Schizosaccharomyces pombe: one gene and its partners. The gene in region 1 interacts genetically with each later gene. Each region holds a gene or a part of one and is shown in the gene's direction. Other genes may lie near its edges.

Evidence for each region.
Region 2: of rhp6 (region 1) and swi2, changing one suppresses a phenotype caused by changing the other (phenotypic suppression), as found in Schizosaccharomyces pombe (one study listed by BioGRID).
Region 3: of rhp6 (region 1) and cdc17, a mutation in one rescues a mutant of the other (synthetic rescue), as found in Schizosaccharomyces pombe (one study listed by BioGRID).

Annotation. Positions count from the first base shown.
Region 1 is NC_003424.3:303,679-307,262, forward strand, and holds rhp6 (ubiquitin-conjugating enzyme E2 2), read left to right. Parts: upstream 1-1,927; 5' UTR 1,928-2,044; coding exon 2,045-2,086; exon of another isoform or gene 2,087-2,133; coding exon 2,134-2,198; exon of another isoform or gene 2,199-2,378; intron 2,379-2,411; coding exon 2,412-2,532; intron 2,533-2,637; coding exon 2,638-2,741; intron 2,742-2,789; coding exon 2,790-2,913; 3' UTR 2,914-3,084; downstream 3,085-3,584. Other genes in the region: SPOM_SPAC18B11.09C (serine O-acetyltransferase activity), read left to right, coding at 38-115, 174-341; protein pat10, read left to right, coding at 785-857, 996-1,053, 1,093-1,182, 1,241-1,277, 1,322-1,351; U3 snoRNP-associated protein Lcp5, read right to left, coding at 3,286-3,584.
Region 2 is NC_003424.3:3,628,499-3,633,260, reverse strand, and holds swi2 (DNA recombination mediator Swi2), read left to right. Parts: upstream 1-1,802; 5' UTR 1,803-1,919; coding exon 1,920-4,088; 3' UTR 4,089-4,246; downstream 4,247-4,762. Other genes in the region: noc201 (Noc complex Noc2 family subunit), read right to left, coding at 1-1,725; SGT2 family TPR repeat-containing protein, read left to right, coding at 4,375-4,477, 4,518-4,762. UniProt on the Schizosaccharomyces pombe protein: Required for normal mating-type switching.
Region 3 is NC_003424.3:1,385,886-1,391,133, forward strand, and holds cdc17 (ATP-dependent DNA replication ligase Cdc17), read left to right. Parts: upstream 1-1,999; 5' UTR 2,000-2,058; coding exon 2,059-2,141; exon of another isoform or gene 2,142-2,181; coding exon 2,182-2,689; exon of another isoform or gene 2,690-2,751; coding exon 2,752-4,467; 3' UTR 4,468-4,732; downstream 4,733-5,248. Other genes in the region: mitochondrial dihydroorotate dehydrogenase Ura3, read right to left, coding at 1-956; SPOM_SPAC20G8.02 (DDHD family phospholipase), read left to right, coding at 4,752-5,248. UniProt on the Schizosaccharomyces pombe protein: DNA ligase that seals nicks in double-stranded DNA during DNA replication, DNA recombination and DNA repair.

The DNA of each region.
Region 1 (3,584 bases):
CATTCAAAAAATAAATATACTAATGGTGTCTTTCCAGGTTCAACTATGTACAGCAACACATCCCTTGGATTTTAAAGCAAGGAACTCCGGAATTGAATTTGGTTTACCAATTAACGTATGCGTTAGTCCAGTTATTGAAACATCTTACAACTAACAAACAAAATTTTATCAAGATTCAGGACAATGTTTGGATTGGTATGGGAGTTATAGTTCTCCCAGGTGTTACTATCGGGGAAGGCAGTGTAATTGGAGCGGGTGCTGTTGTTACAAAAGACATCCCACCTAATACGTTGGCTGTAGGATCACCTGCCAAACCTATTCGTAAAATTGAAAACGAGTGAACGAGTGTAATTTTTTTTTTTATTATTTCATCTAACGATTAAATGCTCTTTGAACTTCTTAAGTTCACCTGGCTTGGTTCCTAAATTTTTAAAATAGTATAAATAATATTATATTATGTTTGAGCTTTAAATTGTTATATAGAAGACTTAGAATGCTAAAAGAAATCCATTTCTCACTCGCCAAGTAGGATCAGTTTCCTCCTATGACTTGCTAAAGCCCCCACGTGGTACTGCAATCGATTTTAATTCTAATGCTTAGCCAAGTCTAAAATAGTTGAAATTCTTAGTGGGATAAGAACTCTTAACCCCCACGATATATTTGAATGCTAAATAACCTAACCTAAAACCATTTTACACATTTTATTACTAACTTCATTATATTCTTGTAGAGGAACCATCCCATTCACCAGTTCTGAAGTCTCGACAACGAAAATTCATAAAATATGGCGCCTGCAGAACTTAAACGACCTGATTTAATCGTTCCCTACAAAGCTAGAGTCAAAGCAAATGAAGAAGGTAAAGTAGAAAGCACTTTCAAATTGAACCCAATCGTGAGTTACGCTGATTTAATCGCTCAAGCTTTAGTTCATTGTGGAATATTTTAAATCCTTTCTTTCGTCAAATAATTTATTAAGTTTGCTAACCCTATTATAGTTGGCTTGAGTTTGGTAAGCACAGCCACGTGTATGGCTGCTTTATTTCTTCGTTTCAAGTATGTAAGATATTTTAGGATTTTCATGTTAACGAGAAGATTAATTGCATGGGTTGCTTTTATCCTAACCTTTTCAAATTTACTGAACGCAAATACGTCTCCCAGCTCATCTCCGACTTCAATGGCTTTGTAAGTAATCCTAATTCATTGCATTAATGTAGTTCTATGGATGTTAACATTTGATCAGTATGGGTATCGCGGCTCTTGTGTCAACATATTTACCGGTAAGTTGAATTTTTATATTTACTTTGTCGATTAACTTGTGCAGCAATTTTTAAATACTCCAAACAAAACTTAGTAATTTTTAAGTCAGTGAATTAATAAGAGTATTAAGCTGATTTTTTTCTGGATAATTAAATTTATGCACAATGTAAATATCTAATGGTGAAGAGTTCAGATACATTTCTAACTACCATTTCAATCACGTAGCAGACGCGTAAAAAATTGGCTGTTTGTGTTTTCTCATTGTTAAGCTAGTGAAAATGTAAATTTATTTCTTACATCCTGTTGCTCTTTCATTTTTTCTTCCTAATGTATTTTAGTTGCTTTTTTAAACCCAATGAGAACAAAGGCTTAAAGTAAATATATATAATTTTCACATGTTCAACAGTTTACCGTTAACAAATGCACGGACCTTGATTATGATTAATGGTTGAATGAAAAATATCAACTTTCCTTATCTTTAACTATAATTTAAATGAAGTAGTAGTTCATTAATACTAAAGCAGACTTGCATTGCAAATGCTGAACATTACTAAAAGGTTGGTCTAGTTATAAGGTAACTGAGCGTGCACTTTATTATTTTAACGTGTTGGGTGCGCCCCATTAATAATGAAATACTGCATATGAGTGAATGGTCCTACTATTGTTCCCTGCCCTTCTCCAACAACGCAAATCGGATATCCTAACTCGGTGTAATTCCAAGGCGATATCGATATTTGTGCAACTTTTTTTTAAAGTTATCACAAATAGAAGAGAGGTTGCTATAAAAATGTCAACGACCGCAAGAAGACGTCTCATGCGAGATTTTAAGGTACGGCAGTTGTGGATCCGAGAAGACTTATATTAACCAATTCTTAGAGGATGCAGCAAGATCCTCCTGCTGGAGTTTCAGCTTCCCCTGTCTCTGACAATGTAATGCTTTGGTAAGTGTTTACCTATGTCAATTCATTTTTCTCTTATTGTTATGCAACGTAATGGTGAATATATGTGCTATATATTGAATGCCTTTTTTGCCATATATTTAGGAAGGAGATCGTTTCAAAATTCTTACAAGAAGCGATCTTTTTATGCTTGTTGGTTTCTGGATTGATTGCTTTTGTTTTTTATTATTGATGTTGGACTAACCATTTGAGCAGGAATGCTGTTATCATTGGCCCAGCAGACACTCCATTTGAAGATGGAACTTTTAAGTTGGTTCTTTCTTTTGATGAACAATATCCTAATAAACCTCCTCTTGTAAAATTCGTCTCCACAATGGTATGCTTAGTCATTGTATTTAGACAAGTCTTAAATTAGATTATTTGATTTGTTGTAATTTACTTTTTTCTTGGTTTTTTTTGTTTACTTACTTATTGGCTTTAGTTCCATCCAAATGTGTACGCAAATGGCGAACTTTGCTTGGACATTCTGCAAAACAGGTGGTCTCCAACTTACGATGTGGCAGCAATTCTTACCTCTATTCAAAGGTTTGCTTTTCAGAAATATTACTTAAATTTCTCATAACTAACTTTTAGCTTACTTAATGATCCAAATAATGCGTCCCCTGCAAATGCCGAAGCTGCTCAGCTGCATCGTGAAAACAAGAAGGAGTATGTGCGTCGAGTACGAAAAACTGTAGAAGACTCCTGGGAAAGTTGATTTCAAGACATAGCTGTCTTAATAATCCCTATTTCATTAGAACTTACTCTTCTTTTTCAACCGCCTTTCACATTAAATCTATTTAAGTGCTTCAAAGTTGCCAAAATTGTAACTATAGTAAATCATTAAGATTTTTTTGTTTACATCTACGAATGAATGATTTCTTCCTTATGTTTAGAACTTGTAAACTATATTAATGTGCGACTAATCACATATACAGACATGTACATGCAAAATTTATATTGATCTTATTAAACATAACCTGCCCTAAACCACACAAAAATACCAAACCAAGCGCAAAAACTCCATTTTTTTAAATACATATGGTCAATTTTTTTAAGTAAACCTCAACGGCTGTTCCCAAAATAATGATTAACGACGTTTCAAATTCTTCTTTCTTTTACGATATGACTGGCCAATTTGAACAGGTGAAGCTAATGAGCCATCGTTAACGTCTTCAAAATTAGCACGTCTCTTAGCTCTAGAAGTCAGGTCTAATTTACGATTTGAAAAGTCATCGTCATGGAATTTGCGATCAAGCAATGACCAGTCTTCACCACCATAATCGTGTTTCTTTACACGTTTAGATTTCTTTAAATCTTTCTTCGATAATTTAGGAAGGCGAGTATAATTACTTTCCTCATACTCTATCCTCTCACGCATTTTTTGCA
Region 2 (4,762 bases), 3.3 Mb from region 1:
GAATGAAATGTCAGTGGCATATAAAACATAATATTCGCTCAAGAGTTCCAATAATTGATCAATTAAACCGTCCTGGTAGACCTTTGTTCTTAAGTATGACGAAGATGCACGCAACTCAACGTCAAAATCCAATGGCTTAAGCGTACTAGCTTTGGCTTTTCTTGACACATAAGAAGAATCCAAGACCTCGAATAGCGAAGGTGCAAGAGGGATAAACACACCAGTATGGCGCGATAAGTAAATTAGACTTCGGATGATGTGAAATCTCATTGGAAATAATTGCGATGACGGTGAACTCATTATAACTCCAAGGGCTATTTGGACTAAAGGATAGACCAAAGATTGTAATTCTGAAGCAACTCCCTTTTCTCTACTCAACCAGGCTGCTTGACTCAATAAACGAGCCCAAAAGTCTAGAGAATGCACATAACTCCAGCTTTGAACAGGCTTTCGAGAATCCTTACTAGGTTGATGAATGGTGTTACGAAGAGTAATAGCAAGTTGTCGAATGTAACGGAATCCGATTAAATAACATGATTCAGCGTCCAATAAAAAAAGATTAACAGCACTATTTTTCAGGAAATTAATTTTATCGAGTGTATGAACGGTAGTGTAAGCTGATTGTCGAGCCATACCAAGATAAACCTCTTTTAAAACGAATTCCAGCAGAGTTATGTCAGCTGTCAAGCATAATGTACGAAGCAATACAACAGCTGAAAACCGAACGCTGTCATCACGAGTCGAACTCCATACTTCAACAGTTGCCTGTGTAAACTGTTTAAGGAATTTTCGATAGGTAATCATATAAGGCAATACATTCTGAGCTTCCCGAAGTAGTAAAGAGATATTCTTGGCATCGGTCATCCCTTCTAGCAAACGTAAAATCGAAAATCCATAGGATTTTAACACAGGGCGTAGCTTCGGAAGCACCTTTGAATCAGTGTTTATAAATTTTTTTCCTTTCGCATCCTCTTGAATGGGAACATGATAATTCAACACTTTGGGGACGTACTGGATGGCTAACAACAAGAGGTCATTGAAAACTTTTGAATCGCTAATAGTGTATTTCAAATCTTCAGCCTCCTCCTCATTTAAGAATGCTGCTGCCTTAAACGCTTGCACGACCTTTTGTAGTGTGGTCAATGAATGGTTCGTCTCCAAAAGCTTTTGCCATTGTTGAATTGTATCACTTGTCAGAACGATTTTTCCGCTAGAAGATTTCAAACGTTCATTCTCATCAATTTCCTTCGCCATTGCGTCTGTTTCAGCGGCGTTGAATTCAAGCAAGTCTTGGTCATTCTGCTCAAGGAACTTGTAAAATTCTGGATCCTTTTCCTTTAGGCCTTCCAATTGCTTTTGATAAGATTCCAAGCCATCCTCTTCTTCTTCCGATGATTCAGAGGTAGAGTCTTGTGTATTTTCATTTGGCAAATTTTTTCTTTTTCTTGAGGAACCTGCATCATTCGAATTCGCAGAGTCTAATTCTTCAAATCCGCCTTCCAAAAAAGCATCCATTGACATGGAGTCATCTTCAGAAGGGGTGTCTTCGCTATTCACGTTTTGAATAAACTTTTCTACGTCTCTTTTCAATGTTTCATCTTTTCCCTCCTTTTTAGAATGCTTTTGTCGTATGCCTTTATCAGTGTCTTTCTTTTTTATTTTGTCATTCTTTTTAGCCAAAGCATTAGCTTTTCTGGCTTTTATAATGGAAGATAACTTCACCATGTGTGGTATGTGCACAGAGGTTGTTAGAATACCTCCTTCAAGAATTAGTGCCCACCATACTCAGTCCAAATTTCTTCACAATTTCCACACCAAAGATATGTCCTTAATAATCATACTCCGGCAAATTTATTAAATGTATATTGCTTTGAACAGAATTTTGCTTTTTGAGAATCGTGAGAAACCTTATAGGCCTTATGAATGTGAACAAAAAGCAGGAGTCGATACCAGTAAACACCGGATCTGAAAGTATTTCCTCTAACGACAATGAAAGGTTTGAGCAAGGAAAGGGCGTCGGCTCAAACCTTGGATCCCATTTCTTTGAGCCGGTAGAATACTATTATTCTGATGGTAAACCGATGAATCAAACAGAAGCAAGCCAGATGAAGGGAACCTTTTCTAGAGATTTTTCTTTAAATGAAATGAATAATGAATTTATCACAGATTCTTTCTTTTGTACAACGACTCCTGATCCAAAAACTGAATCTCCCTCTTTTGTGAAATACAATGCCCATTGTGATGACCACCCAGAGATTAGCGGCCATGTGTCCTCGAATGATAAAGACTTTGCATACTTTGAAGATAAATCTGAAAATCAACCACTGGTTACTCTTCCTAACGAGAATAATCAGGTTATTGAACCGTTAAGCTCACAAAGTTGTAAATCTCAATTATCAACCCAAAATTATTCGGAAAGTGATTTTGGTTGGAACCAGCTGTGTGATCTCGATCCTATATTTAAATCTTTGGCTTTTACAGACGATACTAATCTATTCCCTGCATTTGCAGACTCTGAAGCCGCACTGATTATGCTGAAGAAAAGAGAAATGACGAGAGTGAAGCATAGGGCAGGAAGGCCAAGAAAGTATTCGTATGTTAATAAAGATTTGAACTTCGAGGAAGGATTGCCAAGAAGAAGGGGAAGACCTACAGGCTGGAGGAAGTATCCTGAAAAGGAGGAAATATATCCTACTCTGTCTCCAAGGATTAAGAAACCGAGAAAAGTTTTCGATGCTGTAGTCATTCCGGTTACCATAAAACCTAGTATATATACAGAGCCCTCGTTACCTCATCATATCGATTGGAACAATGGTTGTTCTGAGGAATTTGATTTTGAGCCATCAAGAGAGGATGAAGACTTCCCTGATTTAACTTCTGATTCTACTGGTCAAGATCCATTGTCTAGTGAGCCGACTATTTTTGACATTTCTCCATTACCTAGTGATATGGAGCCAACTTTTTCCGAAAATTCATTAATTACCATTAACAAAATGGCAATAGAAGAACGGAAACAATCACGTCGACTTGAGCAACCACTAGCTGAATCTCAACATCAAGAAGATTTGTTGAATCCCTACGGTGTAGATCAAGACTTTGATGAAACTTGCATCAATGAGTCTGAACAACAAGCCACGCATATTCCTAATTCAAGTATTAAATTTAACTATGATTACACTCCCCCTAAGTCTGCTACCTCCCATAAGCATAAGAGGGTCGATCTTCTAGCATCTCGGAAGGAGAATGTTTGGACTGGATTGTATGGGAAAGTACAAACTGAAATGGTTTCCAACAGAGGCGAAGCTGTGTTGAATGAAAATAATAGCAAAAATCGTACTAATGTCACTAAGCCGAATTCATACAAAAACAGTGTTTTATCAATTGGGAATAATCATTCAAACCATTCTAATATTATTAAACCGAACACCTATAAAAATACTATTTTGTCCAATGAGAACAATACTCCAAACTATTCTAATGTCTGTCTTTCTACCTCTTTGATAAATCGAAGCCTTCCATCTCTTAAATCTACTATGCACCCAGGGGTCAACAAAGATTTAATTACGCGGCCATTTAAGAATGTTAATAAAATGTCTGTACGAAAGGCTCTCATTAAACCATTTCATCCTCCGATTTCGAAGATTTCGCGAACCCGCTTAACTGTTTCCTCACCTGAACGGCTGTATTGTGCCAAGCCTATCTCAATGGCTACTGCTCCAAGTGAAACGGATAGCAAACTAATTAACAGAATCCGTAACCTTGAATTAGAAATTGGTGGCTTGAAAGAACAATTATCCGTTGTAGAGCTCGCTCTTGACACTGACAAAAATTCTAAACAGATACAGGTGGTTGAAAGAAAAATCCAAAATTGGCGAAAATCTGCGCAATTAGCAGTCGAAGTGCTATTTCCTGTTTTTTCTTTGAAGTTTACAACCATGCTTCAAGAAGTTCCACAGTCTGTTTTACGCACATCAGCTAATGATTTACGCACCAAGCCATGTTCCATTGGTACGTACCTTGAACAGTTGCAAATACCCTTCCATCTCCTTCAATATAATTCTGAGACAGAAAGCTGGGACCTGGAATAATATATGTTTTTAGTTTTTTCTTTGCTTCCTGTCTGTTGTTTCTATCTATTTTTGTTTTTTTTTGTCATATCAGTATTTTACAGTTCATGATTCACATTAAAGGTACTATAGTTATCTAATGTTATTTTAATAGCAATATAATTAGGAATCAAAAATTCATTTTATTATTTGCATGTTTACGTATATAAAAATCTATAACGGCGCTTGGAATAATTTTGCCCTTCGCGCATCTCACGATATACTTTCAGTAATACGAAAAAAATCGGTTCTTAAAACGATTAGGAAAATGAGCTCTAACAAAGTTACTGCGGCTATTATTGACTATTTGAAGCAAGCTATTACCACCGGTTCGATTTCTGAAGAAGAAAAGGAAAGCTTGGAGGTTGCTGGTATGTGTAACCCCATTTAAGATAATCTAACCAAAATCAGCTCAATGTATTCAAGATTCTTTTAAAATCAAACCAGAAGAAATTAAGCCCAAGTCAGGGGATCGTTTAGTTGCTGCTTTTGAGGAGTACGAAAAACTGCATCCAGTGGAGGAGGATTCCACTGCTCATGTTAATAAAGAAGAGGCTGAGAAATTAAAACTTGAAGGAAATAATGCCATTGCGGCAAAGGATTATCAAAAAGCTTTGGATTTATACACTAAAGCCATAGAAATCGATCCTACCTCT
Region 3 (5,248 bases), 1.1 Mb from region 1:
ATGTCCGTGAGTTCTTCTTCGTTCAAATCAGGTGCAATTTTTACAAGTACGGGAGGATGAGGAGAGTTCAATTTATTGCGCTCACTGACAACAGCAGTCAATAAAGTTGAGAGGGCAGATTTCTTTTGTAGGTTACGAAGACCAGGGGTATTAGGAGAGGAAACGTTAATGACAAGAATGTCAGCGAAGTTACCAAAGGTACGAACACCTTCAACATAATCCTCAATCTCGTTACCGTTCTTATTCTTGCCTAAATTGATACCAAGGAACTTGTTAGGAATTAAACTACGAGGTACGCCAAGGACAGCGGGATCAGTGCAAGAAGCGGGATTTGCATCAAACTGTTTTAATAGTTGAGGAGATGTCTTAGCAATGTATTTGCGAACGCGCTTTTGAATCTTAGCAAGGATGGCATCATGGCCGATAGAATTAAAACCGTAACGATTGATTACAGACAAATCAGGCTTAAGGCGGAAATAGCGTGGTTTAGGATTACCAGGTTGAGGTTTAGGTGTGACCGAGCCAATTTCAAGATAGGAAAACCCGAAGTTCAACAAACCTGAGATAGCATCGGCTTGTTTATCGAAACCAGCAGCTAGACCAATGGGATTGCAAAATTTCTTACCCCAAACTTCAACGGCAAGAGATGGATCATCAGCTACACGATCCTTCGGTGTTATACCCCAAGAGGCAGCGAGAATGGCGACACGATGAGAAAACTCAGGAGTGGTGAAAGCATGAAAGAGAGGCATTTCAATGCGGCCATGGATAAAACTACGAACATCGGACATGTCGTAAATGGCAACGCCGGCAGTAAAACTACCAATAACACTCAAAAGCTTCCAATGACGGAGAAAGAAATTGCCATTTGAAGAGCCAGAGCTGGTAGATTGAAAACGTACAGAGGAGCGCTTTAAACCCTGAGCGACACCGCGAAACAAAGATCGTTGATACATTTTAGTATTTTTAATAGAATTCGGCTTAAATAAAAAATTTTCAAAACGAAATTGAAAAAAATATGAATGATAAAATAATAAAATGAAGTTTTATAATAGTTTATGCTTAATATATTTAAACACCAGTTTTTTTCCAAACACAACAAACCCAAGAAAAAATAAACAGAACCAAAAAATAAAAATATGGATTTAAGGATCAGAACAGAATCGTCAATCCGTTTCTTTATCCACCTAGAGACAAGAAGTGTTAATTTATATAAAATGGAGAACTTGGTTCTAATAAGATTTCAACGAAAACAAAGATTTCAGAACCGAAAAAATTTCTCCAAGTGCTAGCAGAGGTATATTCTCTGAGAAAGAACAAAAATCAAAAATTGAATGTTTATATTGAATGTTACCTGTAACAGGTAACATGTTTTTTTAGTAATGCCGGGCTGTCGAAATTTGACTATGAGTTTTGTAAATAAAGCGATGGTTATAAACAATTTTATGATAGTTTTTGCTTTCGAATTAACATTTCATAAAAAATTTGAAAAAGAAAAATTTTAAAAATTTAAGGACAAAATCCACTTGAAAAACAAGTGCGAACAGCTTTTTGCAAAAAAACTACAAACCACTACACATTAGCGAATAAGCCTATTAGGAATTTATTTTAATTTTTGTTGATTTAAATTTCTTTTTTTTTTAAATGGTTAGAATCTAGTTGATAAACTTCTAGCAATGTATTTCCAAATTGTTTCTATTACGTTCGTTGATACAGGCAATTGTTCATTTCTGGTATGACTAAAGCATTTCTATACAATTCAACTTCTCATTTTTTCTAGCTGTATTTATGATGTACAGAGCGTTGGGAGAGAGTTGATTAAGTCAATAGTATTTATGAATGAGACAAGGAACACTCATACTATATCAATGATAAATAGCTTTTATATTATCCTGTTATAATCATAAAAATTAATTTCATCTATATAGACTTAGAAAAAAATGGTTTCGTTTTCACTGTCCTTAAACTACAAATATCGTACACGTGTTACTTGTTCTTCAGGTGTACCCTCACTATTGTCAAATCTTATGAAATTCTTTACTCGTTGACTTGATTGTTATGCGAACAGTATTTTCGCAAATTCCTCGTTTTAAACAAGTCAATCAGTACATACGGATGTCGACAAGGCAGTCAGACATTAGGTTTGTTAGATAGAAGACAGACGTTGACTAACCCATATAGCAACTTCTTCATTTCTTCTGCTTCGCACAAAAGCGAGCACGTGGAGGTTTCTCAATCGTCTTCTGATTCCAAAAATGTTGATGGGAGAAGCACAAGCGAAAAGAGAAAGGTCGAATCAGTGAAATTAGTCGACGAGTCGAAACACAACAACCACGACGACACTGGAACTCAAAATGTTGAGCGTGAAAATAATATTGTGTCTGAGGCAAAAAAGCAAAAGACTTTAGGTTCATCCTCCTCTTCTTCAGATGCCGTATCTAGTAACAACGATTCTGGGGCATCTACTCCAATACCTTTGCCAATCAAAGAACCACCGTTAGAGTCCAATGCTCGCAATGATAAGTTAAAAGGTCATGCAACATTTGCTGAAATGGTAAAAGCATTCACAAAAATAGAGAATACTAGCAAACGGTTGGAAATCATTGATATAATGGGGACTTACTTTTTTGGAATTCTTCGCGACCATCCCAGCGATTTACTGGCCTGTGTGTATTTAAGTATCAATAAGGTATGAACGTTTGGTTTTAAAGGATTTCTCCTTCTCAGTACTAACGTCTTTTTTTACATTAGTTGGGCCCAGATTACTCGGGACTAGAGCTAGGAATTGGCGAAAGCATTATAATGAAGGCTATTGGAGAGTCTACAGGGCAAACGCTTCAACAGATTAAACTATCGTTTCACAAAGTTGGTGATCTTGGTCTTGTAGCTCAAACATCCCGTCAAAATCAACCCACTATGTTTAAACCTGCAGCGCTGACAATTCCATTTTTATTTGACTCATTAAAAAAAATTGCTCAAATGAGCGGAAACCAATCCCAAAATAGAAAAATTGGAGTGATCAAGCGGCTATTGAGTTCCTGTGAAGGTGCAGAACCTAAATATTTGATTCGAGCTTTGGAAGGCAAGCTACGCCTCCAACTTGCCGAAAAAACCATTTTAGTAGCATTAGCAAATGCCACCGCTCAATATCATGCTGATAAGAATGGAGAAAAACTTTCGCAACAAGACAGGATTGAAGGAGAGCAGATTCTTCGAGATGTTTACTGTCAACTGCCTTCATACGACCTTATCGTTCCTCACTTGATTGAGCATGGACTTGGTACTTTGCGTGAAACTTGTAAATTAACACCTGGAATCCCAACAAAACCCATGCTGGCTAAGCCGACGAAACAAATTTCAGAAGTTTTGAATACGTTTGATCAAGCCGCATTTACATGTGAATACAAATACGATGGCGAGCGCGCCCAAGTTCATTTTACCGAAGATGGGAAGTTTTATGTATTTTCTAGGAATTCTGAAAACATGTCTGTTCGCTATCCGGACATCTCTGTTTCTGTATCGAAGTGGAAAAAACCAGATGCTCGTTCTTTTATTCTCGATTGCGAAGCTGTCGGTTGGGACCGTGATGAAAACAAAATTTTACCTTTTCAAAAACTTGCAACAAGAAAGAGGAAAGATGTGAAAATTGGGGACATTAAGGTCCGAGCATGCCTTTTCGCTTTTGACATTTTATACCTAAATGGGCAACCTCTTTTGGAAACCCCACTCAACGAGCGTCGAAAACTACTTTACTCAATGTTTCAACCAAGTACTGGAGACTTTACTTTTGCTAAACATAGCGATCAAAAGTCTATTGAATCCATTGAAGAATTCCTTGAAGAATCTGTCAAAGATTCTTGTGAGGGTTTAATGGTCAAAATGCTTGAAGGCCCGGATTCTCATTATGAACCGTCAAAACGTTCCAGGCATTGGCTAAAAGTTAAAAAAGACTATCTTTCTGGTGTTGGAGATTCTCTGGATTTGATTGTAATTGGCGCATACTACGGAAAGGGTAAACGTACTTCTGTTTATGGTGCCTTTCTTTTGGGCTGCTACGATCCAGATACCGAAACAGTTCAATCGATTTGCAAACTCGGGACTGGTTTTTCAGAGGAGCATTTAGAAACTTTTTACAATCAACTTAAAGACATTGTTATATCTAAAAAGAAAGATTTTTATGCTCATAGCGATGTACCTGCGCATCAGCCTGACGTCTGGTTTGAGCCTAAGTACTTGTGGGAAGTCTTAGCTGCCGATTTATCTTTGTCTCCGGTTTACAAAGCTGCAATTGGATATGTTCAAGAGGACAAAGGAATCAGTTTACGTTTTCCAAGATTCATTCGTATTCGGGAAGACAAGAGCTGGGAGGATGCTACAACAAGTGAACAGGTTTCAGAATTCTATCGTTCGCAGGTGGCTTACAGTCAAAAGGAAAAAGAAGGGTCCCCAGCTGCCGAAGATTATTAAGTTTGTAGCTGAGAGTTACTGCTGAGAGCTACTGTCATAATAAAGGGTAATGTTCGGCTAAAATTTGCCCAAAGAGGCTAATATGAATTATGTTAAAGAGACAGACAAATTGAGTTTATGCTCTAGCTGATGGCTATTTCTCTAGCTTACTACTATTTATTTTTTTCTAATTGTAATCCCCTGTGGCTAAAAAAAAATTAATAATAAACAACATTGAATTTCCAAATTATAACATTAGATTGAAAATTTGAATCTTATTTATCCCTTTTTATTATCCTTTTTATATGATTTTATACATTGTATTACCATTTTACGTTCGTACCAAGCCTTACTCTATTTTGCCGTCATATTCCTCCTTACAGTGGATTACGAATGCTTGGTGTTCATTACCGTCCATATACATTTTATGTCACTGTAGCAAACACCAAGAAGAAATTACAATATTGGCTTTAAAGCCATTAATTGCTATGAATAATTCAGAAGAATGGCCATTGAAACATGTGCAACCGCCCAAATTGTCATTTCGTCATTTGCTATCGAGATCTGTGACAGATGCTCCTTCATTGCGGGTACGTTGGTTCTATGCGGTAGATAGACCGCTTAGGAAATCAAGAACGGGACCGACGGAAATTAAAAAAGCAAAAAATTTTTTACCTTTTTCAGCTGAAGACTCGGAGCACATCGAAAAAAGTTATTTAAAGGCTGTAGAAAATGACGGTCAATCTGAACCGGTCAATGTGAATGAGGATTATTTGTATTCGGTGAACGTTGTTTCAAGAGA